4 linked regions of the Stegostoma tigrinum genome follow. The protein of the gene in region 3 interacts with the protein of the main gene of each other region in a pairwise test. Links are inferred from orthologs where the notes say so. Each region holds a gene or a part of one and is shown on either strand. Other genes may lie near its edges.

Region 1 (7,583 bases), on a different chromosome or scaffold from region 3:
AAAATGTTGACAATCAGAGGAACTGGAAGTTTTGTTTTTAGTTATCTTGTGCAGATATGTCATGACATACTTCTGGAGCAAGTGGAACTTGAATCCAAACCTCTGGCCTAAAGATAGGAATGCTACCACTGTGCCACAACAGCACCAACTGGGCTGGCATATGTATCTGTAAACCAATAATACAGCAAGCAATTAAGAAGCAAACAAGATGTTAATCTGTACTAAAAAGCATCTGGAGTATAAGAATAAACAAGCCATTACATTGAAAGGGGTCTCATTGAGACTGCACCCAGAATACAGTTTTGATCTTTATGCCCAATAAAGGATATACATGCTTAAAGTAAGTACAACAATGGGTTCTGCAGTCTTAATGTATGATGAGAACAGATTGAAGACAGCGGGCCTATATATCCTAGAGTTTTGAAGATTAGGGGGTGATCAAATTGTAACAGAAATTGCCCAACAGGCTTAACGAGATATTGTGAGGATACTTCCCTTCGTTAAGGAGATTGAAGGTTTAAGGTTCACCACTTGAGAATAAGGGAATATCCATTTAGGATTGAGATGTAGAGAAGGTTTTCATTCAAAGCACTATGAACCATGTTACCCCTCAACTGCTCGATGTGCACAAGTTGGCCACTTTAATTTAATACGTGTGTCGCAGTGTAAGATAATTTTAAAGGACCTCGCACCCAAAATGAATGTTCCACACTTCCCAAACGTAATCCAAGATACTTTGATGTGAATCTTTGAGTCATGGTTGCTTGGTTGTTGATCATATTCAAGTTAGAGATCTGTTGTTTGATATTGAGAGAATGAAAGGACAAGGGATAGGGTGGGAAAACAAAGTTGAAGTAGAAGTTATTGACATGCCACTGTCTCACTACATGTCAGGGCAGGCTCAAAAAAGCTGAACGGCACATTACTATTTCCATTTCTTATGCTAATGGATTTAAACATTAAAAGGTTTTCTTTTCAACCATTACATTGTATAAAAATTGAAACTACGCAATGAAAATTCTACTAGCAATCATGCGGTCACCAAGAATTAAAATAGGTAATGTACCAAACCACAATTGGCCTTTATAGCCTCTAATTTATTCAGAATTTATTATTGAAATAGCAACTCGCTAATTTCAAATTCTGCCATACCAAATGAGAATGACGCATTGTTGTAAATAGTCACGTGGTTCACTTGGAATCAAAGTGTCTCTGCTCGAGTTCAGCATGGTCCTATAGGATTTTGATACTTGTCAAACCTGTGGTCATCAGGTTATGACATTTGCCATTTGATACAAAATATGTGGAGAATTAAATAAACAGATGCACAATCTTTTTTAGATATGAAATTTTAAACCATCAGCAATCAAGATCAATATGCTTAGAGTCAGAAGGACAGCTTCAAGAGGGTTTTGTAATCCATAGAGCAAGTATGCTGCATTTACTGTAAAATGGTGGTGACAGACTGCTAAGTAAAGATCTCTGTTTCTAATGGCGTACTCTAATTTATTTTTAAATAAAAACAATGGTCAAACTCTTTTTTTTATTAGAATTGATACAAATAGGACATTCCAGTATGGAGAAGAATGGAAAAATCTCTACATATTGACTTCTGCTCCCTAAGTGCTTACAATCAATCATCTGCGATTTCCAGACACAGCATCCAGATGTTGAATAAAATTTTTGTTCATGGCCACACTTTCTGTAATCTCTCATTTTATGTCAATGATGTCCTATTGTTTACAATTGCTTATTTCAACAAATAAATCAAAATGAGTGTTGAATACTTTTGGACGTTACTAAATCACCCACATACAGAAAACTGCACATTTCAAAACTAAAATGGAAGCCATGTAGTGCTGTTTATTGATTGGGTTCAACTATTTGGTGAAAACGACTGATGAGCAGCTAAACCAAACCAAGTTCTTCAGTTATCACTTTCACAGTGTCACTAGGACTGCTGTAGAAATTTACTTGAGCATTCGGACTACTGTTCTTCTTTTTATCGGGCTCACAGGCCAGAATGCAACATTGCTTAGAGGCAACATAAGGAAATAGGAACAGAAAAGATAACAAGTGGCTGACTGACTATTTGTTTTGCCGGTCAGGTGGTCCTTCAGCTTGTTGGTCACTATAAACCTGACAATTCAACTATATTACGACAAACATAATCACAGTCTAACCAAAAAATGGCTTCCGTCATACAGCAATCTGGTTTGATTCTTCCTGCTCAACTCAGGACGGATGACAAATATTGAGTAACACATACACATGGCAAAAAAAGTTAGAGTGACAGCTTAATATCTGTTTTGGCATTCCAAATTTGTGAAAAAAATTGTTATACAGATCAACAAGGCACCATTTTATAAATGCCTTAGTATGAAAAGTGCACGTCTAAGTATATTCGATGAAAGCTAATGTTTTGTTCTGTTGAAACGATCATTATGGACAACGAGAGATATTTCAGATATACCAGACATGAGCGACGGTAAATACTGGTAGGTCCGCTCAATAACTGCACATTGTTTTGACCAGAGAGATAACCAGTTATCCTCCTTTGATCGAGACATAAACCAGGCGTGCAATTTCTCTTTCAAAAGTAGTGATTTCAATAGCGAAACACTAGCATTGAGGAAATACTTAGCACATTTCCAATTTCAATAAAGACCTAATGTCTTATACCTGAGACTCAAGCTAGGGTTTTAAATTTATTTATTCACAGTGTGCATGGCATTTATTTTGATGCACGTTTCGGGGAGGAAAGACCGTGAAATTATTTAAGCCAAGTGGATTCCACAAGGCCCAGGCGCAGTACCTGCTCCTCCAGGTTTCTTTTACTCAGCGCTAGCTCCTCTATTATTTTTGGGAGTTTCTTTAATAATGTCGGATCGTCTCCAAACTCTTTCTCAACGAATTCGACCACATGCTGAGTGAGCTCGCCACCATACCCATCCTCCGCCGCCATGACAGCGGCTGGCACGTCACCACATCCGGGCAACCGGACCGGTTACCATGGAGACCGCGCACAGGCTGACTCGGCGTCATCCCAGCAAAACGATGGAGAACAGTTCGGAACTGCTGGAGGAATGCTCAAACCGCCAGTGGAGACAGAAACACAGTTAATGTTTAACCATTTTGTGACACGCCAGTGTTCAACAGCAGCGCAGACCAGACTCTTCGGATAATAAACACAAAGAACCGCGGATGTTGGAGGAGCTCAACAACTCTGACAGCATCTGCAGAAATCATGTGGAGGTGCTGGTGTTGGACTGGGGCGGACAAGGTCAGAAATCACACAGCACCAGGTCGTAGTCCAACAGAACAAAGTATGGGGCTGGATGAACACAGCAGGCCAAGCAGCATCTTAGGAGCACAAAAGCTGACGTTTCGGGCCTAGACCTTTCATCAGAAAAGGAGTCCAACACGCTGATTTGAAATCACAAGCTTTCTAAGCGTCGCTCCTTCTTCAGGTGTTAGTGAAATAGGTAGTATCAGACATTGAATTTATAAGTAAAAGATCAAAAGGTCACACCACTGAGGATGGACTAAACAAATCTTAAGATGCTGCTAAATCTTTAAATCAATTAGAAGGTTTTAATTGATTAATATGTATATGTAAATCGCCAGATTCCTTTCAAGACACGGTCCTGAGAGAAATAAAGATCTTTGCAGTATACAGAGGAGGTGACATTTTAGGTCACACAACGCATATTAGGTGTAGGACCTTGTTTAGAGATAGTAGGAACTGCAGATGCTGGAGAATCTGAGATAACACAGTGTGATGCTGGATGAACACAGCAGGCCAAGCAGCATCAGAGGAGCATGAAAGCTGACGTTTTGGGGGTAGGGTAGAGAGGGTGACTGTGTGTGTGAGTGAAGTTGGGGAGAAAGAGAGAAACAGTGAGTGTGTGGGGGGTGTGTTTGGGTGTGTGGGGGGGGGGGAGGGGGAGAGAGAGTGTGTGTGTTTTGGGGGTAGAGGCAGAGTCTGTATGTTTGGGGGAATGGGGAAGAGAAAGTGTGTGTGGGGGAAGGGGGGAGAGAAAGATTGAGTGTGAGAGAAAGAGAGAAAGTGTGTGTATTTATGTGTGAGGGAAGATAGAAAGAGAGACTGTGTGTGTGTGTGAGAGAGAGAGAGTTGAGTGTGGTGGGGTCACCTGTAATGCAACATGAACCCAAGATCCCAGTTAAGGCTGTCCTCATGTATATGGAACTTGGCTATCAATCTTTGTTCAGCGACTCTGCATTGTTGTGTATTCCAAAGCCCACCTTGGAGGTTGTTTACCTGAAGATCCGAGGCTTAACGTGTCCTTTACCGCTGAGGTATTCCCCGACTGGGAGGGAACATTCCTTCTGATGATTGTTGTGCAGTGTCCATTCATCTGTTGTTGTCGTGTCTGCATGGTTTCGCCAATGTACCATGCCTTGGGGCATCTTTCCTTGCAGCATATGAGATAAACACTGTTGGTTGAGTCACGTGAGTATCTGCCAGGCACACGGTGGGTAGTTCTCCCACGTGCTCCCAAGTGTCCATGTTGAAGATCTGATATGTCTTACAACAGCTACTAATGACAGGGTTGTATAGACTTGTCATCAATATTGTCCAGAAGGTTGGATAGTTGCTGCGAACAATGGTTTACAGTTGGGCAGTTGTTTGAGGTCGTGAAGTGGAGGCATGGGGAAGATCTTGGTGAGGTGCTTATCCTCATTGATAATGCATTGAAGGCTGTGAGCAACGTGGCAGAGTTTCTCCACTCCTGGGAAGCACTGCATGACAAAGAGCACTGTGTCAGATGTATCCCACGTCTGTCTCTAAGGAGGGCATTACGGTTTTTCACTGTGGCATGTCGGTGCTGGCTATTGATGGGTATTGCATTGTATCCTGTTCTTATGAGGGTGTCCTTCAACACCTTTAGGTTTCAGTTTCACTCCTCCTTATCTGAACAGATTCTGTGTATGTGTAGGGTTTGTCCATAAGGGATGGTTGTTTTAATAGGTTTCTGGTGGAAGCTAGAGAAGTGTGGCACCGTAAGGTTATGCGTAGGTTTGTGATAGAATGCTATACTGCGGTGTCGGTCCTCGTCCTCAAACTCACCAATGGTGTGAACCCTGAAGGTTCTGAAGAAGGGTCACTGGACACAAAACATTTGACTCTGCTTTTCCTCCACAGATGCTGCCAGACATAGTGTTTTGAGTTATTTTGATTTTTGTTTCCAAGTTTTCAGGGATGGTGTCAGTTTGGCTTCCATTCCTAAATATAGAATTTAAGCTAATTTGAAATGCTATTCTTCCCCGGTTCCTCTAATCAGTGACTGAGAAGGCACCTCAAGTCACCTCTTGCTGCTGCCTGAGTATTTTGCTGAATTAACATGGGCAGTCCAAAGTCAGCAAAGTGTGCACACATAAACACGAGTCCATACAGACACAAAGAAGTAAACAAGTGTGCTATCTTTCACTCTTCCCAGAGTCACATCAGTTTGGCAAACGGGTGGCTGAGTTTGGAGGGATCCAGAGGTAATTTGGTGTGGGGTAGGAGTTGAGGCCAGCAGCTGCAGAACTCTCAAGCCCAACTTTGGGGATGGGGAGATATTGTGTTGACAGTTGGTGGTGGCGGCAGCAGCGGTCAGGTCCAGGTGCTGTTTGGGATAAGAACACAAGAACTAGAAGCAGGAGTAAGCCATCTGGCCCCTCGAGCCTACCCACCATTTAATAAGATCATGGCTGACCTTTGAGACTCAGCTCCACTTACCTGCCCACTCACTATAACCCTTAATTACTTTACTGGTCAAAATTTGTCTAGCCTTGCCTTAAAAACATTCAGTGTGGTAGCTTCACCCACTTCACTGGGCAGGGAATTCCACAGATTCACAACCCTTTGGGTGAAGAAGTTCCTCCTGACTTCACTCCTACATCTGCTTCCCTTTATTTTGCCCTCTAGTCCCACCTGCTAGCGGAAACAACCTCCCTGCCTCCACCTTATCTATTCCCTTCATAATCTTATATGTTTTTATAAGATCTCCCCTCATTCTTCTGAATTCCAATGAGTATAATCTCAGTCTGCTCAGTTTCTCCTCACAATCCAGCTCTCTCAACTCTGGAATCAAGGATAGCAGGCCTGGAGGGTGAGGAGGATCAAGGCAGACCTGCAGATGGGGTGAGATTCACACGGACCTGATTGGACATAGGGACCAGGTACCCTGATAGAGCTGACAGACTTGAAGAAGTATCTGGCAAACCTAAAAGGTGAGCAGGCCTGATGGAGAGTTTACTTGAAGGCCAGAAAGAGAATTTACTAGCAGGCCCTTGAAGATGGGGTTAGGAATTTGCAGAGAGGGGCTTTAATATTGGCGAGAGGGAGGGAGGTTGGGCAGCAATGTGATGTATCAGGAGTATGCGGCCTTTTGAGGGACAACACATACTATCAAGGAGGGAGGCTAAGTAAAATATATGAAATATGTCGTGATGGTAAACGTCTGTGAACTGAGATAGTCATATTGGTCCCCTTGACTTTGTTGAAACTGCATAAAGTTTTCCTTTGAAGCTTCCTTCTCCTTCCAGTCATATGGGCCCCTACTCCTCCAGTCTCATCAACTCCTCCAGTAAAGCATACCTTGTATTTTTTTTCCTTCAAGTTGGTCATCCTGAAAGGGGACTTCAATGTTGATCAGGATTAGTAGCCCATTAGCACCATCACTGACTGAGGTGATAGAATTTTGGAGGAACAGGCTTTCAGACTGGGCTCGCAGTAGCTAATGAGAGAACCAACACTGGGGGTTACCTCCTTTACTTTATCTTCATTAATCTACCTGTTGCGGATGCATTTGTCCTTAACAGTATTGGTGGGAACGATCACTGCACAGTCCCTGTTATGTGTTGTTGACCAGACGAGACCAGACTGTCTCAAAACATGTTAAGAAGGTAGCCTAAACTGTTAACTTTTTCTTATTTTGAAGATAGATGTGAAGTGTGTGTTTCCAGGTTTTTGCAACTGGTCAAACTACTTGATGTTAAGCAAAACACAATTTATTTAAACACTATAGTTAAAATACAAACAAAAGAAAGAGGAATTTAGAGTGACTTAACTGAATAATAGATACAGTACATATTAATAATTAATTGTTCCAATACAACAACATTTCCAAAAACACATCCTGTGGCAAAAAGGTAAATTCAGACACAGATTCTTACACGCAGTTCTCCAATCCAGTAGGAAACAACATCAAGAGATTTCAGAGAAAGCAGCAGCTAGGAATCACTTACTGAAGCTTTCAACACTTCTGGGACCCCAAACGGCTTCTGACTGCTACAGTTAAAAAAAAATTAGAAAGCCTGGTTTGAGAGAGCTGGCCACTCCCCATCCATTGTTCCAACTGTTCTTAATAAAACCTAAAGACTTTCTAAGTTATTTACTTTAGCTGTTTTCAATAGCCAGGTCACCACCTCTGCCTTCACAACCGTTCTTTAAAAAAAACCCAGGGCAATTTAAAGTGACAGGATTGTCACAAGAGACAAGATCCATCTTCAGACTTAGGAGACGGCACTGTATTGTGTGATACTAGCACAAGTAACATAGAATCAGAACAGCA
Region 2 (7,577 bases), on a different chromosome or scaffold from region 3:
GTACACATTCCCAAGCCACATGCCATCTTTACTTGGAACTACATCATTGCTCCTTCAGCATCACTGGGTCAAAGTCCTGGTGCTGCCTTCCTAACAAAACCTGCCCTTTCTGCATCTCAAGGACTGCAGCAGCTCAAGAAAGCAATTCATCACCAGATTCACTTGGACAATTGGGAATGAACAATAATTACTGACCCAGCCATTGAAGACCACATGCCACAAACATCTAAAAAAAACTAAGGTCAGATGAAGCTTCACATTTTATTTTAAACAATCCACAAATTTCCTAAAATACAATCTGGTTTGAGAAAGATAGAGGTTTGAGAAAGATAGAGGTGTTCAAAACAATGGTATCTAGACATAGTCGATATGAAGAGCTAACAAAGTCTGGAGATGGATGAACACAGCAGGCCAAGCAGCATCTTAGGAGCAGAAAAGCTGACATCTCAGGCCTAGATCCTTCATCAGAAAAGGGGCAGGGGGAGTGGGTTCTGAAATAAATGGGGGGGGAGGGGTGCGCGGATTGAGGACAGTTAGAGCAGAAGATAGGTGGAGAGGAGACAGACAAGTTAAAGGTACGGGGATGGAGCCAGTAAAGGTGAGTGTAGGTGGGGAGGCAGGGAGGAGATAGGTCAGTCCGGGGAGGACGGACAGGTCAAGGGGGCAAGATGAGGTCAGTAGGTAGGAAATGGGGATGCGGCTTGAGGTGGGAGGAGAGGATAGGTGAGAGAAAGAACAGGTTAGGGAGGCGGGGACTGCGGATACAGTGGGGGAAGGGGAGATTTTGAAGCTAGTGAAATCCACATTGATAAAGTTGGGCTGCAGGGTTCCCAAGCGGAATAAGAGTTGCTGTTCCTGCAACCTTCGGGTGGCATCACCGTGGCACTGCAGGACGCCCAGGAATGGGCATGTCATCTAATGAATGAGGGGGACAGTTGAAATGCTTCGCAACTGGGAGGTGCAGTTGTTTACTGCGAACCGAGCATGGGTGTTCTGCGAAGCAGTCCCCAAGCCTCTGCTTGGTTTCCCCGATGTAGAGGAGGCCAAAACGGGTATAGCCGATGCAGTATACCAAATTGGCAGATGTGCAGGTGAACATCTGCTTGATTTGGAAAGTCTTCTTGGGGCCTGGGATGGGAGTGAGGGAGGAGGTGTGGGGACAAGTGTAGCACTTCCTGCGGTTGCAGGGGAAAGTGCTGGGTGTGGTGGGGTTGGAGGGGAGTGTGGAGAGGACAGGGGAGTTGCGGAGAGCGTGGTCTCTCTGGAAGGCAGACAAGGGTGGGGGTGGAAAAATGTCTGGTGGTGGGGTCAAATTGCAGATGGCGGAAGGGTCGGAGGATGATGCATTGTATCCAGAGGTTGGTGGGGTGGTACGTGAGGACAAGGGGGATTCTCTTTTGGTTGTTATTGCGAGGATGGGTGTGAGGGATGCGTTGCAGGAAATGCGGGAGACACGGTCAAGGCTGTTCTCGACCACTGCAGGGGGGGATGTTGCGGTCCTTGAAAAACGAGGACATCGGAGATGTATGGGAGTGGAATGCCTCATCCCAAGAGCAGATGCGGCAGAGGCAAAGGAATTGGGAATACGGAATGGAATTTTTGTAGGAAGGTGGGTGGGAGGTGGTGTATTCTAGGTAGCTGTGGGAGTCAGTGGGCTTGAAATGGATATCGGTTTCTGGGTGGTCACCTGAGATGGAGACAGAGAGGTCCAGGAAGGTGAGGGATGTGTTGGAGATGGTCCAGGTGAACTTGAGGTTGGGGTGGAAGGTGTTGGTGAAGTGGATGAACTGTTTGAGCTCCTCGTGGGAGCACAAGGCAGTGCCGATATAGTCAATGTAATGGAGGAAGAGGTGGGGTTTAGGGTGTTTGGAACAGTCTAACACCAAACATTATAAATTTAAAGAGATCACTGAAAGAAACAAAGGTGACGCAAGGCAAGTAGCTCTGATCTGGAAGGTACTGCCTGATAGGATGGTGCTGACACATTCATTTTCAGCTTTGAGATGAAAGTTGAGGTCCAGGAATGGGGAGTCAGAGAGCCTGCACACACTTAATTGGATGGATAGTCTCCTTCTGTACAGCAAAAATTATTTACTTGAGTGAATCACTCCCATCAACTCCATCACACTAAAGGCTCCCTGTGGGACACGTGTCACTTTATTTTGGCTACTCAAACTGTCTGAGCTGACAAACTGGGAGATGCTGCAAACCTGAAACAAATACAGAAAGTGCTACAGAAACTCAGCAGGTCTGGCTGCATCTGTTCAAAGTGAAACAGAGTTGATGTTTTAAGTCCAGCATGACTCTTCAGAACTGCTATGAAGAAGAATCATAAGATGCTGCTTGACCCAGAGTTATAGAGTCATACAGCACGGAAACAGACCTTTCGGTCCAACCAGTCTATGCCAAACACAATCCCAAACTAAACTAGTCCCTTCTGCCTGCTCCTGGCCCATATCCTTCCAAACCTTCCCCATTCATATTTCCATCCAAATGGCTTCTAAACGTTATAAATGTACCCACATCCACTACTTCATCTGGAAGTTCATTCTACACACTAACTACGGTCTCTGTCCCCCCGCACCTCGCCGAGGCCCAAAGTGCGAAGTGATCGCGATCCAAAACAAAAATAGAAATCGCTTTAAAAATTTAAAGGGGCACCTTGTGACACAGTGGTGGTGCCGCTGCGGACACTTAGCAGAGTTAATGTTCCGGGTCCGGAACACTGCTTGAGGCGTACCTGAGCTCCTTACTTACCTGCACGACAAAGGAGAGGCTACAAATCCAGCAGCTGCTAACCCAAACAGCAACGCTCAGGGAACCCGTCCGCCTGCAAAAGCACCAGATCACACTCTGGCAGCTTTCCATCAGAATCGGAGAAGCCTGGGGACCAGGAGTGGGCGGAGTCGCCAGGACACGAAAGTGTGCGCACCCCGGGATCGCCCCCGCTGACAGTCAGACAGATGGACACAACCCTCCGCCAATCGCCGGCCGCTTCGGTGACGGGGGGCGCGTATTCAAGCTTCAGGGGGAAGTGGGCGTGGCCGGATGTTCTGGCTCTTGTACTGGCCACCCTCCGGAGAGAGGCGCGAGGGGAGGGAGGGTTCACGGAAGAGCGACACGTGGTTTCCGAGAAGTGACTGAGCCCGAAGCACTACCTAGGTGGCAGGAAAGCGAGAATCGAAACTAATGCACTGACGGCGCTGGAGGCAGAGCAAAAATGCTGAGAGGCGACGCTAGCCAATGTTAGCCACTGCACAAGGCGCAGTTGGTTTGAGCACAGATAGTTCTAAGACATCAAAAATAAATTGTTTATTACTACTCATACGTCTTCCTCTTGGGTCAACGTTATTCTTTTTATCTGTGCTATATGGAAGATGGAATAAGTCTTTAAGGGAGGGCTAGGTGAGATGGGGCTGTAAAGATTACAACTTAACGACGTGTTGCATATTAATATCGTTTCCTTTCTTCCCGTAAGGTTGGCACGAGTCTAGCACCAGCAAAAGAAATCTCTGACTAATGCAATGAAGTTTAAAAATAAGGGGTAGGCCATTTAGAACAGAGCTGAGGAAAAACTTCTTCACGCAGAGAGTGGTGGATATATGGAATGCTCTGCCCCAGAAGGCAGTGGAGGCCAATCTCTGGATACTTTCAAGAAAGAGATGGATAGAGCTCTTAAAGATAGTGGAATCAAGGGTTATGGGGATAAGGCAGGAACAGGATACTGATTGTGGATGATCAGCCATGATCATAATGAATGGTGGCGCTGGCTCGAAGGGCTGAATGGCCTACTCCAGCACCTATTGTCTATTGTCTAAAGTGTCATTTAAGTACGATAAAAAAAGTGGAGCTGGATGAACACAGCAGGCCAAGCAGCATCTTAGGAGAGCAAAAGCTGACGTCTCGGGCCGAGACCCTTCATCAGAAAAAGGGGATGGGGAGAGGGTTCTGAAATAAATAGGGAGAGAGGGGGAGGCGGATCGAAGGTGAGGTTAAAATTGTATCAGAGATAATGGGAACTGCAGATGCTGGAGAATCTGCCCTTTTCTGATGAAGGGTCCAGGCCTAAAACGTCAGCTTTTTTGCTCCAAAGATGCTGCTTAGCCTGCTGTGTTCATCCAGCTCCACACTCTGTTGTCTCGGATTCTCCAGCATCTGCAGTTCCCATTATCTTTGATACAATTTTAACCTCACTGCAAAGCCTCTTCCAGGATGCCTAACCTGAAGAAGTTACCCTACTCCCTCCAGACCAACCTCAAGCTTTTTCTGATGAAGGGTCTAGGCCCGAAACGCCAGCTTTTGTGATCCTAAGATGCTGCTTAGCCTGCTGTGTTCATCCAGCTTCACACTTTGTTATCACGGATTCTCCAGCATCTGCAGTTCCCATTATCTCTGATATCGTTTAAGTATGATGTTCGTTTTGGTGTCTATCCCTTGAAAGTTAAAAAGTGCTGGAAGCACTCAGCAGGTGCAGGCAGCATCTCTACTGTGGAGAGGGGAACAAAAAGTAAGCAATTCAAGTCTACACCTTGTGTTGCCCAGTATTCATGGATGTCCTAAGGTACAATTTGAGACAGAGTTCTCCCTCTCCAGATCCGCCTGAGGATGTATTCAATCGCGAAGATTCATGCTGTCACAATGACTCTCTGTCTTGGCTGTGCCCACCATGATTATGTGAATAATCATCTTTCAAGGGGCTAGAGGTAGAATAACAGAAAAAAATCTTCCTACCTGCCCATTCCCTGCGCCCAAATACACCTCGCTTACTGGATGAGCAAAGATCAGGACGCAGAAATGAAATCTTGAATCAGAATACCTAGAGGTGTCTCTGTGGAAGTTTAGGGATTGGAGATTCCACAGGATGGAATGAGACTGTTTAAGTTGTGTCTATATGTTCCCAGCAGAGCACTCAGAGACATCTGTTAATGAAAAATTCCACCTGGGAGGATAGGATTGTCCTACACATGAGGTTCTTCATGAAGGAGAGTTGGGGTTAAAGATGACAACGCAGTATGGAACTGGAGGAACACAGAAGGCCAGGCAGCGTCAGAGGAGCAGGAAAGTTGACAGTTTGGCTTGGGACTCTTTTTCTGATTTTTTTTTAGCCCTAGTATTTGTACACATTTTAGACAAGGTGCCAAGCATCCAATGCTACTCATGACATTCAATCCAATAAACAAACGCCATCGCTAACATCACTGAATCCTTCCTGTCTGCAATCTACCTGACACCAACCCCCCCAAAACTGGAACTGCGCGTTCTGAAGTGGCAATTCTTTCAGGTTGTCTATCTTCTCTGATGAGGAGAATTTCTGCTGGGAAGTAACAATGTCCCACAATCTGTTAAGATTCCAAAAGGAAACAGCAATCCTGAAACTATATTGATAAAATTTACCAGAAAGGAAAATTTATATTTTACATTACTCTACCTTCAAAACAATGGTGTAAATTTAAATGACTTGCACTTAGTATGTTGGTATTATAAACAAACACAGAGAATGCTGAAGAAATTCAGCATATCTGGCAGCATAATCTGGAAAGACTGACGGAATGAAATTCTAACTGTTTCTCGCTCACACCTACTGAGTTTCTTCCAGCATCTGCAGTACTTTGCTTTTCTAATTGTAGTAGATTTAATATTGGAGGAACTTATACATGATAATGAGTAGATTTCATGAGTACATTTGAATTATAAGGACATGGGTAGAAAATAACTGCCATGTTTTGGTTTTGGTCTGCAAAATACATTGAGTAAAGTAGGCTCCTGCTCCCCATTAGCCTAGATGGCTGCAGCTCCAACAACACTGAAGAAGCTTGACATCATTCAGAACAAAGCTGCCTGCTTGATTGATTGACATCACATCCACAAGCATCCACTCCCTCCACTATCGATGCTCAATAGCACTATCTACAAGATACACTACAGAAATTCACCCATGAGTCTCAGATAAAACCTTCCAAAACCATGACCACTTCCATCTAGAAAGACAAGTGCAACAGATATATGGGAACACCATCACTTGCAAGATCCCCCCAAACCACTCATTATCTTGACTTGGAAATATATCACCATTCCTTCACTGTCGCTGTGTCAAAATTGTGGAATTCCGTCCCTCAGAGCATTCTGGGTCAACCTATAAAATGCAGACTGCAGCGGTTCAAGAAAGCAGTTCACCGCCATTTTGAGACAGTAGGAGCTGCCGGTGCTGGAGTCTGAGATAACAAGGTGTAGAGCTGGATGAACACAGCAGGCTAGGCAGCATCAGAGGAGCAGGAAAGCTGATGTTTCGGAACATCAGCTTTCCTGCTCCTCTGATGTTGCCTGGCTTGCTGTGTTCATTCAGCTCTACACCTTGTTATCACTGCCATTTTCTTTAGTTTCAACTAGGGACAGGCATTGAATACTTGCCAGCTAGCAATGTCCACATCCCATGAATGAATTTAAAAAAGACATTGTTTTTAAATGCTGGGTGTGCAAACCTATCTGATAAGTCATTGAGAGAAAGATTGGTTAAAAAGTCAAAATTTAAATGCCTGTTATTGAAGTTATCTCTCCTCCAAAATGGTTGTTAATAAACATTTTTGACTGTCTCAGTAATCACTAAATATTTCATGCTTAGAATTACTCAAAACAATTTTAATTCTAATGTTAAGTTCCATTTTTCTTTCATTTTCACACTAATAGTGTCTCTGAAAATAATTGGAGCTCTAACAATTTGGTAACTTCAAACAAAAAATTAGAAGGATATTTTATTTCATAATTTGAGCACCACAACAAAAAAAATTGCAAAACTAAATAAAGGCACAGATAAAGCACAGCCCAGAAATACTTTTGCCCAGAAATGTTTTTGTGCTCCTGAGATGCTTCTTGGCCTGCTGTGTTCATCCAGCTCCACACTTTATTATCTTGGATTCTCCAGCATCTGCAGTTCCCATTATCACTATCATGCCCAAAAATACTTGCTCAGTTATTGGCACTGAAAAATCTTTGGGAATTGATTAGTATGACTGATTTAAAACAAAAATAAGTTTGGTTGTGCTGCAGCAATTTAGTAGCTTAAAGATACATCTTGCTTCAAGTTTGACATTCAATTCAAAATCACATTACAATCATTGAGGACTTTCTGACAATTACTTGTTGTAGAATATAAAATATAGAATACAAAACAGTTTGAACCCAGTTTAAGCTATTTCCGTGTATAACTTGGCAAATTAAAGCAAATTATCAATGTAGACAACATGTTTTGTGTTTTGAAATAAAGAGAAAACACAGCCATGATGGATTAAACAGTGTAGAATCGCATTTGACTTGCATGAATTTTATGGCAAAATTACTTAACTGTGATGGTCTTTGTGTCCCTGGTATAGTACAAATTAGTATACTTTTGTTTTAATAGCATACATCTTTTTAAGTTCTTTCAAACTCCTGCCATGGCACTTTAGTTTAAAATGCCAAATCATTTAGACAGTTATTCTTCACAAGTATTCCTGTAGCTTGTTACTTGAGCATATAAGTTACCCACACAGTGCAAAGATCAAGCTCAAGTATTTTGTGAAGTCTAGGATTCTCTCAGGGTA
Region 3 (6,853 bases):
GAGAGGGGAAGGCGGACCGAAGATGGATACAAGAGAGTTGCAATGGGAGAGAGATTCCCTGAGGTTGGTCGGGGGGGAGGAGGGTAACTTCTTCAAGTTAGGCATCCCTGGAAGAGGCTTCAAAGTGAGGTTAAAATTGTGATCAGAGATAATGGGAACTGCAGATGCTGGAGAATCCAAGATAACAAAGTGTGAAGCTAGATGAACACAGCAGGCCAAGCAGCATCTCAGGAGCACAAAAGCTGACGTTTCGGGCCTAGACCCTTCATCAGAGCAGTTCCCATTATCTCTGATCACAGTTTTAACCTCACTGTGAAGCCTCTTCCAGGGATGCTTAACCTGAAGAAGTTATCCTCCTCCCTCCAGACCAATCCCAGGGAATCGCTCTCCCACTACAACTCTCTTGAATCCATCTTCGGTCCACCTCCTCCTCTCTCTCTATTTATTTCAGAACCTTCTCCCCATTCCACTCTCTGATGAAGGCTTGAAAACGTCAGCTTTTGTGCTCCTGAGATGCTGCTTGGCCTGCTGTGTTCATCCAGCTCCACACTTTGTTATCTCGGATTCTCCAGCATCTGCAGTTCCCATTATCTCTGCTGACCATCTCAATATCATGTTTACTTGTAAATGGAGACCCACTAACATAATCAGGATTCAGATTAAACTAGATCTCCTGTCCGACTTGGTGTCTAGATGATTGGTTACTTACATGAGATCGTCGTTACTTTTTATTCATTCATGGCATGTGTGCATCACTGGAAAAGCCTACATTTGTTGCCCATGCCTAATTGTGCTTGAGAAGATGGTGGTGACCTTTTTTCTTGAACCACTGAAGTCTGCTTTATGGAAATATACCCCGAGTATTGCTGGGACCAGAGCTCTGGGATCTTGATCCTTCGATAGTAAAGGATAACAAAATGGTTCATTCATGACTTGTCAGGGAACTTGAAGGTGGTGGTGTTCCTATTCACCTAATGCCCTTGTCCTTCGAAGTAATAGTGATACTTAGTTTGGAACATGCTGTTAAAGGAAGATTGGTGGTTTACTGCAGTGCAAGTTGTAAATGGTACACACTGCCAGTGTGCATTGGAGATGTACAATGGGACTTCAATAAGACAGGCCAATGAGTGGCAGATGGAGTTTAATTTAGATAAATGTGAGGTGCTGCATTTTGGTAAGGCAAATCGGAGCAGGACATATACAATTAATGATAAGGTTTTTAGGAGTGTTGCTGAACATAAAGAGACCGAATGGTGCAGGTGCACAGTGCCTTGAAAGTGAAGTTGGAGGTGGACAGGGTGATGAAGACGGCATATGCTACGCTTAGCTTCCTTGGTCAGAACGTTGAGTATGGAATTGGAATGTTATGTTGTGTCTGTACAAGACATTGGTGATGTCACTTTTAGAATACTGTGTTCAAATCTGGTCTCCTTGCTACAGGAAGGATGTTGTGAAACCTGAAAGAGCTCAGAAAAGATTTACAAGGATGTTGCTGGGATTGGAGGGTTTGAGTTATAGGGAGGGGCTGAGGGGGCTGGGCCTGATTTTCCCTTAAGCATCAGAGGCTGAGGGGTAACCTCATAGAGGTTTATACAATGGTGAGGGGCATGGATAGGGTGAATACACAAGGCCTTTCTCCCAGGATACAGGAGTCTCAAACAAGAGGGAATAGATTTAAGGTGAGAAGGGAAAGATTTAAAAGGGACCTCAGGGGCACTTTTGCACACAGAGCGTGATGTGTGTATGGAATGGGCTACCAGAGGATGTGGTAGAGGCCGGGACAGTTAGAACATTTGAAAGGCATTTGGATGGGTACATGAATAGGAAGGGTTTAGAGGGATATGGGCCAAATACTAGCAAACGGGACTAATCTGTTTCAGATATCTGGCTGGCAAACATGGCACTGGAGGATCTATTGCCATGCTGTACAGCTCTATGACTCTACGGTGGTGTTAATGTTGAAGATGTTGGGTGGAGTGCCCACCAGGCTGCTGTGTCCAGGATAGTGTTGAGATTCTTGAATGTTGTTATTGGGGCTTTGCTCATCCAGGCAATTAAAGATTAGTGTGTCACACTTCTGAGTTGTGCCTTGTATATGATGGATAGGACATGCAGAGACCAAAAGATGACTTACTCTCTCAGACCTTTCAGCCTCTGACTTGGTAGCCATGGTATTCACATAGCTAGTCCAATTCGGTCTCTGATCAGTGGTTAACTCCAACTTCCCCAGGTTGATTGAAGCGATCCATATTCAACCTAGGAGCAGTAGAAAGCCATTCAGCCTGTTGAGCCTCCTCCCCCATTCATTCAAATCATGGGTTGATTTGATTGTGGCCTCAGTTCCTTTTGAATCCCATGTCTGCCAAAAATCTATCTACCTCTACCTCTACTCCACCACTCTGGCCAGAAGTTCATTCCACAGACCCTCTGCGAGAGGAAAAAAACTTCTCATTTACACTTTAAATGGCAGCTTTATTTTTAAACAATGTCACCCAGCTCTCCCATGGAGGGAGACATCAATTTAGCACTCCCTTCGTCAAGTCCTGTCAGGATCTTGTATGTTTCAGTAAGATCATCATTCTTCTAACCTCCAAAGGATACATACAGACCCAGCCTGTCCAACTGGTCCTCATAAGGCATTCCATTCCATGAAATCAATCAAGTGAACTTCCTCTGAACTGCTTCTGATGCAATTATGCCTATTCTTAACTAAGGACAAATCTGCACTCAGCACTCTCTATGTGGTCTCACCAAAGTCCAAAGTAGCAAATCATCTTTAATTTTATATTTTCTATTCACATTGCAATCAATAGCACCAATCCATGTGCCTTCCTAAGCACTTGCTGTGCTTGTGTACAAATTTTCTGATTCATGTACCAGGACACTCAGATCCCTCCAGGCCTCAGGGTTCTGAAATCTCTCCAGTGGTAAATAGTTATTGCTTGGCACTTGTGTGACTTGAATGTTATTTGCTACTTATCAATCCAAGCTACCCAGGTCTTGCTGCGTTTGGACACAGACTGCTTCAGTATACAAGAAGACATAAATGATACAGAACATTGTGTAATCTTCCAGTGCAGCCCCATTTCTGACTTTACAATGGAGGCAAAGTCACTGCTGAAACAACTGAAGATGATTTGGCCAAACACTTTACTCTGATGAACTTCTGCAGTGACATCCTGACACAGAGATGACTGACACCCTGCAACTCAAAGAATTTTCCTTTGTGCTGAATCCAGCAGTCAAGAATTTTGCTCCTGACTCCCATTGGCCAACTTTTCTCAAGCTCCTTGATACCAGACTCAATCACATACAGCCTTGATGTCAATGGCAGTCAATCTCACCTCACCTTGAGTTTAGTGATCTTTCTGTGTTTGGACAAAGATTGTAATGAGGACTGAAGCTGAGTGACCCAGGCAGAAGCCAAACTAACCAAATGAATAAGCATTATTGAACATGAATGAGTATTGCCGTGTAAGTGCTGCTTCACTCTCAATTACACTTTCTATGACTTTGCTGTTGCATGAGAGTAGAATGAATGGCCAGGTTGGATTTGTCCAGCAATTTGTGAACAGGATACACCTAGACAGTTTTCCACATTGCTGGGTAGATATCACCGTTGTCACTGTACAACTTGGTTAGTTTTGGATCACAAGTCTCCAAACTATTGAGAACGTTGGCAGAGTTGGTGACTTTTGTCACATACAGTGCCTTCAGTATTCTCTGATGTCATCTGGAGTGATTTGGTTGAGGACTGGTGGCTGTGATAATGAGGCCCTCAGGGGGAGGCTGAGAGATCACCCACTGAACACCTCTGACTGCTGACAGTTGCAAATGCCTCTCCCTTTTGCACTGATATGCTGGCTCCCCTATTGAGTCTTGCAGTCTTCTGTCAACTGGGGTCGAAGTTTTCCACCCAGAGTACATTTTGTCGCCCTTTGCACATCTTCCAAGTAGTAATGGGACTGGACTAGTAATCCAGACTGAGAACAGAAAGCAGTATCAACTCCCAAAGCCCATCACATTGTCAAGATCAAGCTTCGTGAGCTAATTATCAAAACCTCAAAACAATTAGCTTCTTAAGCTAATTTTTAATTATTCTAAATTATTCGAATAAACGTCTAATATTCTGGTGCGAAATAATATTCATTATTTTATTGTTTTAAATTATAGCAGTCAAATTTAATGAACTTCATGATGCACCATTGATTAAAATGGATCTTTATCATAAACGCTTTGTGTTTATAATGGTTTTACTGTTTTACTTAATATGTATATAACACGTGCGGTTATATTATGCATATTTTAATGAAAAGATAGGTGCAGGAAAATAGATCAAGTGTTTGGTCATTGCAATGCTGCAATTGTTTCTCAGAGCGGTGTTGCCCTGCGCCTTTAACACAAGCAGGCTCCTGCCTCTTTAAAAGTGATGAGTGTTGTTTTGTAGGAAGGGTCCCTTGACGACGCTTCAAAGCTGCGGCTCGAACACGAATTTCCGCGCATTGTCCGAGTCGTGATGAGGAAAAGGAAACGTGTGATCTGGGCTCAGCGCAGTATATAAAAAAAAGCCAGCAGCAGCTTCAGGGCCTTGCAGAGACAAGAGAGAGAGAGAGCGAGAGACAGAGTTGGCGACCCTGCTCCGTCCCCGAACCAATGTCAGCAACAATCGAGAGGAAATCGCTGGAAAATGCAGAGTGAGTTAAACTGCCGGCTCGTTTTCATTTGCGTTGCAAACCGCTGTAAAGGTGTAGAGATTGCACTCGATTCAGTCAAACCGATCAAGGATTGAACAATTTCCTCAAACATGGGTCCGTGCACACAGTCAGACCAGAGAGACACCATCTGATTGTGAGATTTCTAATCATCTCGATATTCTTGATTTCTACGAGACAACATAATGGCCTTACAACTAAAAGAAAAGCCCCTGATCTTAACCACTTGGGGTTTTGAAGATGGTAACATCTTACGGATTGCATTTATTTTCATTTTATTATTTCATAAACTTTACATTGACGCGCCAGAGACAATTCTTCCGCGACAGTCATGTACCATGCATCATTTCAGTTTTGATTTATTGGACATGTTTACTCATGTCTTTTGATCTGAGCAACTTTTAGCCCTTTAGCAGGACGGCGTTGTGGGAACTGTTTGATTCATACTCAATACATGTAAAAACCGAGTGAAGGGCGAGCGATATTCTTCACGGTAACCGCCACCGCGCCGCCCCCCGCAACAACCCCAACCTCCCCAGTTCACAAAGTGTATTTGATCTGCCACTTATCCGTTATCAGCGGACCCGTCACTTCAATATTAATATTTTGGAGCCGCTCTCTCTTTGGGGAATTCTCGTGACCTCTTCATATTTTAAGTTGAACTTCCCCTTCAGCCAGCTGCAAGGGAATGAACCCTCCAGCCATTTTTCTTTCATTTTAAACAAGCATTTTTTAGGCATATTGCTGAAATATGATGGAAAATGTGGTCACAATAGCACTTTTGAATCCGTAGTTTCTGTAATATATTTTCAATGCCAATATGTGAAAAGGACTAAATATTTTGCGTGCTTCTAAGCTGAGCTTCCAATTGAAGAATGCTTTCTAACCATCGTCTGTTTATTTAAGAAGATTGTGTAGCCTTAAACCAACATTGTTCTATCTTACAATAACAGTACATCGCTTATAATAATGCCCCTATCTCACTCATCTTTCTATTATCGATCCCTTTGGGACATCAACTGCTACACTGAAATTTTCAAGACACAGTTGTGAGTATAAGTATTTAAGGAAGCTTGGCTCATGGGTAATACTGTTGCTTTGGAATCGGAAAATTGAAGCATCAGACTCCATTCAGCTCAAAACCCAGACTGGCACTTGAGTACATTGTCGAGTTAGTTAAGTTAAAGTCACTATCGTCTGCCCAGACCGTTGGGATGCTCTCTCATTGAAGAGTGAGAGATGGCTGGTGATCATTTAATCTCAGGTGAGGGGAGAGGGTGAGAAGGAGAGTCTTCATGGTAACCTTAGCTGGTGTGAGAGTTGAATCCATTCTCGTGGTGCCACAGTGCACTGTAAACCAGCCGAGCTAAATGACCCCAAAATAGGAGCACTGTATCATTAAAGGCACTGTTCCTCAGATATAACATTCAAGCAGAGACCATTGGCCTGGTCAGCTGGATGTGACAATATTCTGTTCTATGATTTGTGGAAATGTTGGAGAGTTCTGGCTAATGTCCCTTCAGCCAATATCAAGATTATTTGTCATTTATCTTATTATTGTTGAAATTTTGCTCCTGCACTTCCCTCTGTGACAACAGTGATCAATTCACATAAGAAATAGGAGCAGGATTTGATACATGGAGTCTGCTTCACCATTAAATAAGGTTATGTCTGAGTTGATTGTGGCTCTGTGTCTGACAGCTATCAGAATTTTTGAGGCTATGAAAAGAACTATGCAAATGAATGTGTTTCCTTATGCAGCTTAAAATGAAACAAATATTTTCTTTGAAAGCCTATGACCAAGAAATACATTATAATGATCTTACAAACGAACTTGAAAAATTCTTCGTAAACACATAGAATGGTTACAAAAGGAGGTTGTTTGGTGTTTGAAGCATCTGCTTTCTCTTTGTAAGAATATTTCTTTAGCTTGTTCAACTTTCTTGCCCGTATTCTGAGATAACCCCAAGGAATTCCTGCAGCAGTGCTCTCGGAGGGAGATGATTAACCTCCAACAATGTTTGAGCTCCTTTGTGCTTGGTGTGACTCCACCCAGTAGGGAGATTTCCATGATTCTCTTTTTGTTTAAAGTTTTGCTCAGGTTTTTGATGCCACACTCAATTAAATGCCGCTTGATGCTA
Region 4 (7,767 bases), on a different chromosome or scaffold from region 3:
GAAAAAGTAACTTTTAAAAGCTACAATTAACAACATCGAAAGAGCAGGAAAGTTTTCTGAGCCGCACAAAACAGCAAGATAATACCAAGTAATTATGCCATTGTTATTTTACTCCATCAATTTCAGTTGAAGAGGGTATGACTTTTTAAAAAAAATTCTTGTTAATCATGTCTGTCATTGACACCTTGCCACAATAAATACTCAAATGTTCTATTGCTAAACTTGATCATTGAGGGGCAACAACAGCAAGACGGGAACTAATCCAAAAGGTTTCCATGGTCAAATTTTAAGCTGCGATGTGTTCTCTTCAGGTAAAGAAAATGTTTAAGAGTAAATAGCATTCATCAGAAGACTACAAGGGTACTGGATACATAACAGAAAACCCTAGAAGCACCCAGGTCAGTCAATATCTGTGAAAGCAATATACATAGTTAACAAATAAAAGCTGCTAGAGAAACTCATCAGGTCCGTCAGCATCTGTGCACAGAAAACAGTTAACGTTGAGCCCAGTGGCCCACTGGACTCAAACTGCTTTCTCCACACAGACGTTGTCAAAACAGAGATTCCCCAGTCATTTGTTTGCTTCAGATCTCCAGCAACTGCAGTTATATTTTTAAAGGTTAATACTTTCAGTGTGGACCTCCATGAGATTGGGTAAACATTTAACTGAACATTTAAACAGTTTTTAATAAAAGAGGGCAGGTCAAAACAGATTAGCCCATACTGCATTTAATTCAATAGATTTCATGGATGCTGACCCACAGGCCAATGTCCATACTATTCTGTTTTATGTTACTCAGATGTTCTTTGGTTTACACTGTGCAAACATTTAAAGATTGTACCAACAGACGAGGAACAATTTTCAAAAGTGTGTGTGTTAAGCATAGAAATACATTCTGCAGTCTACTACAGATTTGTTACAAGTAGGATGAGGGTTTACTTCCATGATTTTACACATAAGCTGCCAATTATGTAACAACTGAAGAGTGTGTGGAGAATATACAAGACAATGTGCACTTAATTCAACCTGAACTAATTACATACACATGCATTGAGCCAGTTACAGAGGTAATGGTTGCTAGGAATAAATGCAGCAATTTTAGTCAGCAAACATTGTTTCCTCTCAGATCTGAAGTATTTTTGACAGATTTTCCCTGTTGGAACTATTCCTCTGCTCAATTTCAAACACTATTACTTTGCCAATATCTTTCAAGATAATAGGCTTTTTTTTAAAAAATGGTAAAAGACCAAAGTTGTTTATATAAAAAAGCTGGGTTAATTTGATCTCAAATAAAAGTAAATTTAAAATTTCACAATTTGCACCCACAATAAGGCATTGAAAATAGTAACTTGAGATTCCTACCCTAGATGAGATTTCTCATCTGGCCTGCTCCCAGAACAAAACAATAACTTATGTGCCACCTTATCCCAATAACCAGAACAGTAATGGCAGAAAACACAATGTTACAGCCTTGTCCTTCTCAACATTAGAACAGATGTGACAAACTCAAAATTATTTTCTGTAAACTCCTAAACTTTTAGCATCAACATTCAGAAGATACTAACTCAATCCGAGAATTCTGTACCTCCCTTCCAATATACTGACACAATTCAGTGGTGCTAATGCAAACCTATTTTGTTTTATTCACGAACATCCTTCCGAATAGCTGTGAAGAAACATTTAATTAAAAAATTGACTGAACACAACTAAAATGCCAGGTGTCACTTCTTCTGTATAAGGGGGCTTATTCTTCAATACCAAAGTTTGGCATCAAGTGAAGACAAAAACAAAGTAATACAGTTAGTACACAATATTCACCAAAATTTAAAACTAGATTTTGAAATGATTCCAATTGACACACTACAACTGACTTTACCTTTCTCTCTCATTATATCTTTAAGTGTTTGCCATTTCATTTCAAATGGGATATTGCTCACAAAAACCCGGAATCTTGCATTTCTGTTAGTTGAATACGGCTCAAAGCGGTTTCCACCACGCTTGCTGCTTTTTTCCTTCAGCTTATCATTTTTTTCATTCTGAACTGAAGCTTCATTTGTTTCACTGTGAAGCACAAAACACTGTTTCAATATCAACAGTCTCACTGGATTCAAACTGCTGTAGGCAGTGGTCTTCCCACAAAACAAATTATCGCAGCACAACACAAAATTCACTTTAATATCCTGTTAATTTACCAGTTACTGTTTTAGAACAACAGACAATGGCTAACTACAGTCAAGGTTCCAACATAATCGTCGGTGTTATTATGAGGAAAAACGGGATAGGACGCCGAGGCGAAAATGGAATAAGAAACGAATCAAGACCAGAAGCAAATGTGGGGTGAGGTGCGGTGAGGTTCCGGAACAATGCACGAATGAAACAATATGGTGCATGCCCACGCGCAACTGAAAAAGGGGCGGGAGTGTGTCCATCTAACTCAAATGTGAAGTGGTGGGTAATTGAATTGTGAATTCAAATTATTCACATACCCAGCTCTAATTCTTCAGGGAAACGCGCGCACTAAAGAATAAAGCATTTTCGACCCAACGTGCAAAACCGACTTCAAATATTAGAACTGAAAAGACGACCAATTAAAATTTAAAATATTATTCAGTAATAAAATTGGGCGGTTCCTCCTACTTAACATCCTTAAGAGCTACTTCAGGCCAGCGATCAATGCGGAGTTAGGCCGCGGATTTCAGACATCCTGAAACGGCGGGCCTTTTGTTCGGCGCGCGGTGTCGCGGCCTACAGTCCCAACTGAAGCCTGAGCCGTTGCCATAGCCACACGGCCTCCCATCCCTCACACAGAACCGCACCTTTGGTTCTGATCTTCATCACCACCACTCGGGTTATTCTCATCTTGCTTCTCCTCCTGTTCAGGGTTGCTGATTACAGGCTCCTGGGGTGTGGGCTCCAAATCCGCCATCGACGCAACAACAAGCAAACCGAGCGCGCTGTCTGACTCGGAATGGCGTCTGCCCGCTATCGCGTGAAGGATTCTGGGTACAGCTCTGCTCGGCTGACGTCATACTGGATTCCCGCCAAATCTCCAAGGCAACTGGACCACATGGACAGGCCTACTTGAACTGCTAGACACAGTTTCAGTGATACTAGGAACTGCAGATGCTGGAGAATCCGAGATAACGAGGTGGATGAACACAGCAGGCCAAGCAGCATCAGAGGAGCAGGAAGGCTGACGTTTCGCGCCTAGACCCTTCTTTTTGAACAGTCTAGGCCCGAAACGTCAGCTTTTCTGCTCCTCTGATGCTGCTTGGCCTGCTGTGTTCATCCAGCTCTACAGCTAGAAACAGTTAACAGGTTAGGCAGCAAACTGGGCAAAAGGACATTTCAGGTTCATTATAACTGGAACAAGTTACCATTGGAACTCATTGCATAATAAGTTTTTCTTCAAGTTACTTTTTGATTATGTTTCCAATCACTTTTAAAGCAGTTTCTGTCTATCTGCCCTAACTGTCACCATGATGGTTTAGTTTCAAATATAACAGATTTAAGTAGTACAACGTTAGGGAAGGTTTAGATGGTAAGTGCCCTAATTCTTCAGTCCAGCACCAGCTTGATATCTGGGTGTTAAGGAGTTAACTGAATCCTGAAGGAGACATGGTGCTACCTGGTTGTTTTCAAACACAACTTCCAACAAAGCATCTCTTTTTAATGTACACACAACATATTAAAACATTGACAATCACTATATAAGAGCATTATCAAACAAAATTTTTAACTAGCAATAGAGCACTGGTGACAATGTGCTTGTCAAAGAGGTAGATTTTTAAAGAACATTTTATTGGAGGAGAGGAAGACAAAGAAGTGGAGAGATTTATAAAAGGAATCCCAGACTTTAAATTCAACACAAGGAAACATCATTTATCACTCACCATCCCAAAACTTTCAGTCTATTATACTAGCTGCAAATGCAGGGAGATCAGCGGTAAAATGATTCCGAATTTACAGCTGAACTGATACTCAAGTTCAGAGTTGTTACTCATAGTTTAATTTGTGATTTTTACAATTTAGATAGCGTGAAGCTGGCAGACAAGGTGCAAACTGACAAGCAAAAACACAACAAGTTTCAAAGTGAAACTGTTGTGGAGCAATAAACTTGCTCATAACAGATTGCACATTATCCCTTTTGCACAGGCACAGTATTTCAGCCATGCACTGACACTGAATACAGAAAGTACAGAGGAGATTTTAAAGTAGGGAATAAGAAGGGGGTCAGATGGTACGTAAACGCATCAGTGGCTATAAAAAGAAACCTAAAAATATTTTATAAGCAAAACCAAACAGTAAAAATTAGAAAAGCAGTGCTTATAAGGCACTAAAATAGCAATATACTTAGAGAAGTGGTGGCCATGACTGACGTACTAAATGAGTACTTTGTAACTGTCTTCACTGGAGGAGAAAATACTTTCAATGTAGGAGTGGGAGGAAGTAGTAGTTATACTGGATAGAATAAAAATAGATAGAGAAGATACATAAAGGGTTGGCAGTTCTCAAAATTGAAAAGTCATCTAGTCTGGAAAAGATGCATGTGAGATTACTGAAAGAAGTAAGTCTCTGGCCACAGACTTCTAACATTCCATAGATACTGGGATTGTGACAGAAGATGGGTGGATTAAAAATGTTATATCCCTGTTCACAGAAGGGAGACAAATAAATTCATGAATTGCAAGAGAGTCTAATATCTGTGTTGGAGAAACTGTTGGAGACAATGATCCAAGACAAAATTATTGAGACTTCAAAACATATGGACTAATAAATCAGATTGGGATATATAGTAGGCATGAACAAGTTGAACCAAAGGGTCTACTTCCAAGCTGTATGACTAATAAATAAACATAACTGAAAAGGCAAACTGTATTTAATTAACATGATCAAGTTTTTTGATGAAGTAGCGGGAGGGTGGATGAAAGTAATATGCATATGAAGTTTCATTGGGTGTTTGACAAAGTAACTCCAAATAATCTTATTACTGAAATCAAAGCCAATGAAATTGAAAATATACTCCAATATGCATGCAAAGTTGGTCAAAGGACAGAAAGCAATGAACGGTTATCTTTCAAACTGGATGTGGTGTTCCCCTTAGGTTGTAAATGAGACCACTACTCTTTTCAAGATCAATTCATAATCTGGACTTTGGTATACCAAATATAAGTTTGATTTTCTCATGAAAAAAAAATTCAGAAATGCAGTAAATAATGAAGAAGACAGTAACAGAAATCGGGAGGACATGGATCAGTTGATGAAATAGGAGGACAGTTGGCAGATCAAATCTAGAAAATTTTGACATTATACATTTTGTATGAAAGAATAAGGAGAGGCAATATAAATGTAATGGCACAATTTTAAAGAGGTCGCAGGAACATAGCAACTTAGGGTTATGCACACACTAATCTTTGATGATGACAGGAAAAGTTGAGGCTGTTGATAAAAGCATGTGAGGTTCTCTGATGAGGCTAATGCTGAGAGTATATATAATACCAGCCAGGCCTCAGCCGAGTATTTCGGAAAGACATCAAGACTTGAACATGGTGCAGAAGAGATTTATTAAGATTAGGCCAACAATGAAATGGGATGAATTAGCATGATGGCTCAGTGGTTTGCACTGCTACCTCACAGCACCAGGGACTCAGGTTCAATCCCACCCTCAAGTGACTGTCCATGTGGAGTTTGCATATTCTCCCCATGTCTGCATGGGTTTCCTCTGGGTGCTCCGGTTTCTTCCCACTGCCCAGAGATGTGCAGGCGAGGTGAATTGGCCATGCCAAATTTGCCCACAGTGTTCAGGGATGTGTAGATTAGGTGGGTTACAGGGGGATGGGTGTGGGTGGGATGCTCTGAGGTTCAGTGTGGATGTGTGGGGCCAAAGAGCCTGTTTCCACACTGTAGGGATTCTATGATCTTTAACTACATAGCTAGAGTCCAGTGAAGAATAGTTAGAGCAACAAGGATCATTCTCCTTTCTGGTTATGTTAATTTGTGGGAGCATGCTGCTTTGCTTCAGCTCATGTTTGACATGATTGGGTGGGCTTCAAGCTATGCATATCACAGAATCATTACAACATAGAATGAGACCATTCATCCTATCTTATCTGTACCAACTCTACAAACTAGCAATTCCCTTAGTGTAATTCTCCTCCTTTTTGTCCATAACCTTACACATTCCTTTTCAACCATGAGTCCAAATCCATTTTGAATGCCTTGATTGATCCTGCCTTGACTATGCTCTTAAGCAGTTCATAATTACTTCTCTCTCTCTCTCTCTCTTTCTCTCTCTCTCGCCATCCATCTCTAGTCCACGCATGATGGTCCACTCGTGATTATAACTCATTACCTACTGCCCACGGAAGAGGGACTCAGCTACTTGGAATTCTTCTCCTTGAGGCAGGGAAGGTTAAAAGGAGATTTGAAAGAGGCATCCATGTTCATGAACAATTTTGTTAGAGTAAACAAGAAAAAGCTATTTCTAGTGGCAGAAGGTTTGATAACCAAAGAAAGATTGTCAGAAGAACCAGTGGAAACAATGTGAATTGAAGAGAAACAAGGAAACTTTTTTAAATACAGCAAGTTGTAGTAAGCTGAAATACCTGAAAACAGCAGATTCAATATTAAGTTTCATGAGTGAATTGGATAATAGAATACTTGAAAAGAAAATAATTGACTGGTGTAAGGGAAAAAGGCAGGTGAGGAGGACCAAGTGGATGGCTCTATAAGGAACCAACACAAGCCTAATGGGGTAATGACCTTCTTCTATGTTGTATCATGCTATGGTTCATGCTTTCTTGAGATTATGCAAAATTTATTATATGGTAACTTCAGCAAGCAAAATAGGTGTAATTGTTTGACATTTGGCACTAGCAGCCCACAGAGCTGAGAGAAACACAACAGTCCATGTTAAAAAAAACAGGTGGTTAGTAACAACTAAGGGATTAATTTGCTTTCATGGATTCATTCAAATATTCAGCGTGAAAATAGACCAATGTCTAAATGAGGCATGCAGAAAATTCAAGGAAGAGCAGGAAAACACATGGCAGCTGATTTAGATGCCATTACATCGCAGTATTGGTACTACATTTGACCTTCACAGTGGGCCTCTGTTTTACAGTTGACCTTAATATTGCATTTTTTCTCAATATCACAAGTGACCTAACACTACAATTACACTTAGGACTGCTCAGTGATACCATTATCTCACTACCACAAGTTTCCTCGGAGGTAAGAGTCATTTTAGTAATCTTGGAATTGGGAAAAGAAAAATCAATTTGTTTATTCTTCTGTTCATATCACGGAAGTGCGACTGAAATGTTTAAAAGCTGAGATCGATACTTATTTGACAGTAAGAATGTTCAAGGAAAAAATGAAAAACAAGAAAGTTAGGATGAAAAAAGACATGCCTTTGCTTGATTTGTAAACTTCAACCATTTAGCTGCATAATATCCATTTTTTCAAGAACTATGTGGTCAACCAAGATGCCAAGCAAGATGTTCATGTATTAAATTCAGCTGAACAAGTACATTAATTGCCATATTGGGTGAAAAGAAGCAATAGACCTCTGTACCTACACCTAAAGCAGGCCAAATATTGGCAGATAAAACACCATGCTTAATGTCTCATTGCAGCACTGGCATACCTTGATATAACCAGTATCAGCCACTAGAGGCTGCACTCAAGTAAATCAGTCATCGGCAGCTCGTGCCAACCCTGAACATACTTGAACAAGGCAACTGATAAAACAGGACTTACACCTA

The links.
Region 1: the proteins of lmo2 (region 3) and rint1 interact in binary tests that used the Homo sapiens proteins (3 or more experiments, as listed by UniProt). The two-hybrid records come from large-scale screens. The link is inferred for Stegostoma tigrinum from reciprocal best matches to the Homo sapiens genes LMO2 and RINT1.
Region 2: the proteins of lmo2 (region 3) and signal transducer and activator of transcription 1-alpha/beta-like interact in a two-hybrid assay, tested with the Homo sapiens proteins (2 studies listed by BioGRID and IntAct). The two-hybrid records come from large-scale screens. The link is inferred for Stegostoma tigrinum from reciprocal best matches to the Homo sapiens genes LMO2 and STAT1.
Region 4: the proteins of lmo2 (region 3) and heterogeneous nuclear ribonucleoprotein M-like interact in binary tests that used the Homo sapiens proteins (3 or more experiments, as listed by UniProt). The link is inferred for Stegostoma tigrinum from reciprocal best matches to the Homo sapiens genes LMO2 and HNRNPM.

What each region holds. Positions count from the first base shown.
Region 1 is NC_081378.1:22,456,512-22,464,094, forward strand, and holds the start of rint1 (RAD50-interacting protein 1), read right to left. Parts: upstream 3,003-7,583; 5' UTR 2,966-3,002; coding exon 2,816-2,965; intron 1,697-2,815; exon of another isoform or gene 1,551-1,696; intron 1-1,550. UniProt on the Homo sapiens protein: Involved in regulation of membrane traffic between the Golgi and the endoplasmic reticulum (ER); the function is proposed to depend on its association in the NRZ complex which is believed to play a role in SNARE assembly at the ER.
Region 2 is NC_081360.1:35,651,844-35,659,420, reverse strand, and holds the start of signal transducer and activator of transcription 1-alpha/beta-like, read right to left. Parts: upstream 3,015-7,577; 5' UTR 2,758-3,014; intron 1-2,757. UniProt on the Homo sapiens protein: Signal transducer and transcription activator that mediates cellular responses to interferons (IFNs), cytokine KITLG/SCF and other cytokines and other growth factors.
Region 3 is NC_081370.1:45,064,543-45,071,395, reverse strand, and holds the start of lmo2 (rhombotin-2), read left to right. Parts: upstream 1-3,832; 5' UTR 3,833-4,042; intron 4,043-4,447; 5' UTR 4,448-4,653; coding exon 4,654-4,694; intron 4,695-6,853. UniProt on the Homo sapiens protein: Acts with TAL1/SCL to regulate red blood cell development. Also acts with LDB1 to maintain erythroid precursors in an immature state.
Region 4 is NC_081383.1:27,415,031-27,422,797, forward strand, and holds the start of heterogeneous nuclear ribonucleoprotein M-like, read right to left. Parts: upstream 3,008-7,767; 5' UTR 2,928-3,007; coding exon 2,818-2,927; intron 2,063-2,817; coding exon 1,878-2,062; intron 1-1,877. UniProt on the Homo sapiens protein: Pre-mRNA binding protein in vivo, binds avidly to poly(G) and poly(U) RNA homopolymers in vitro. Involved in splicing.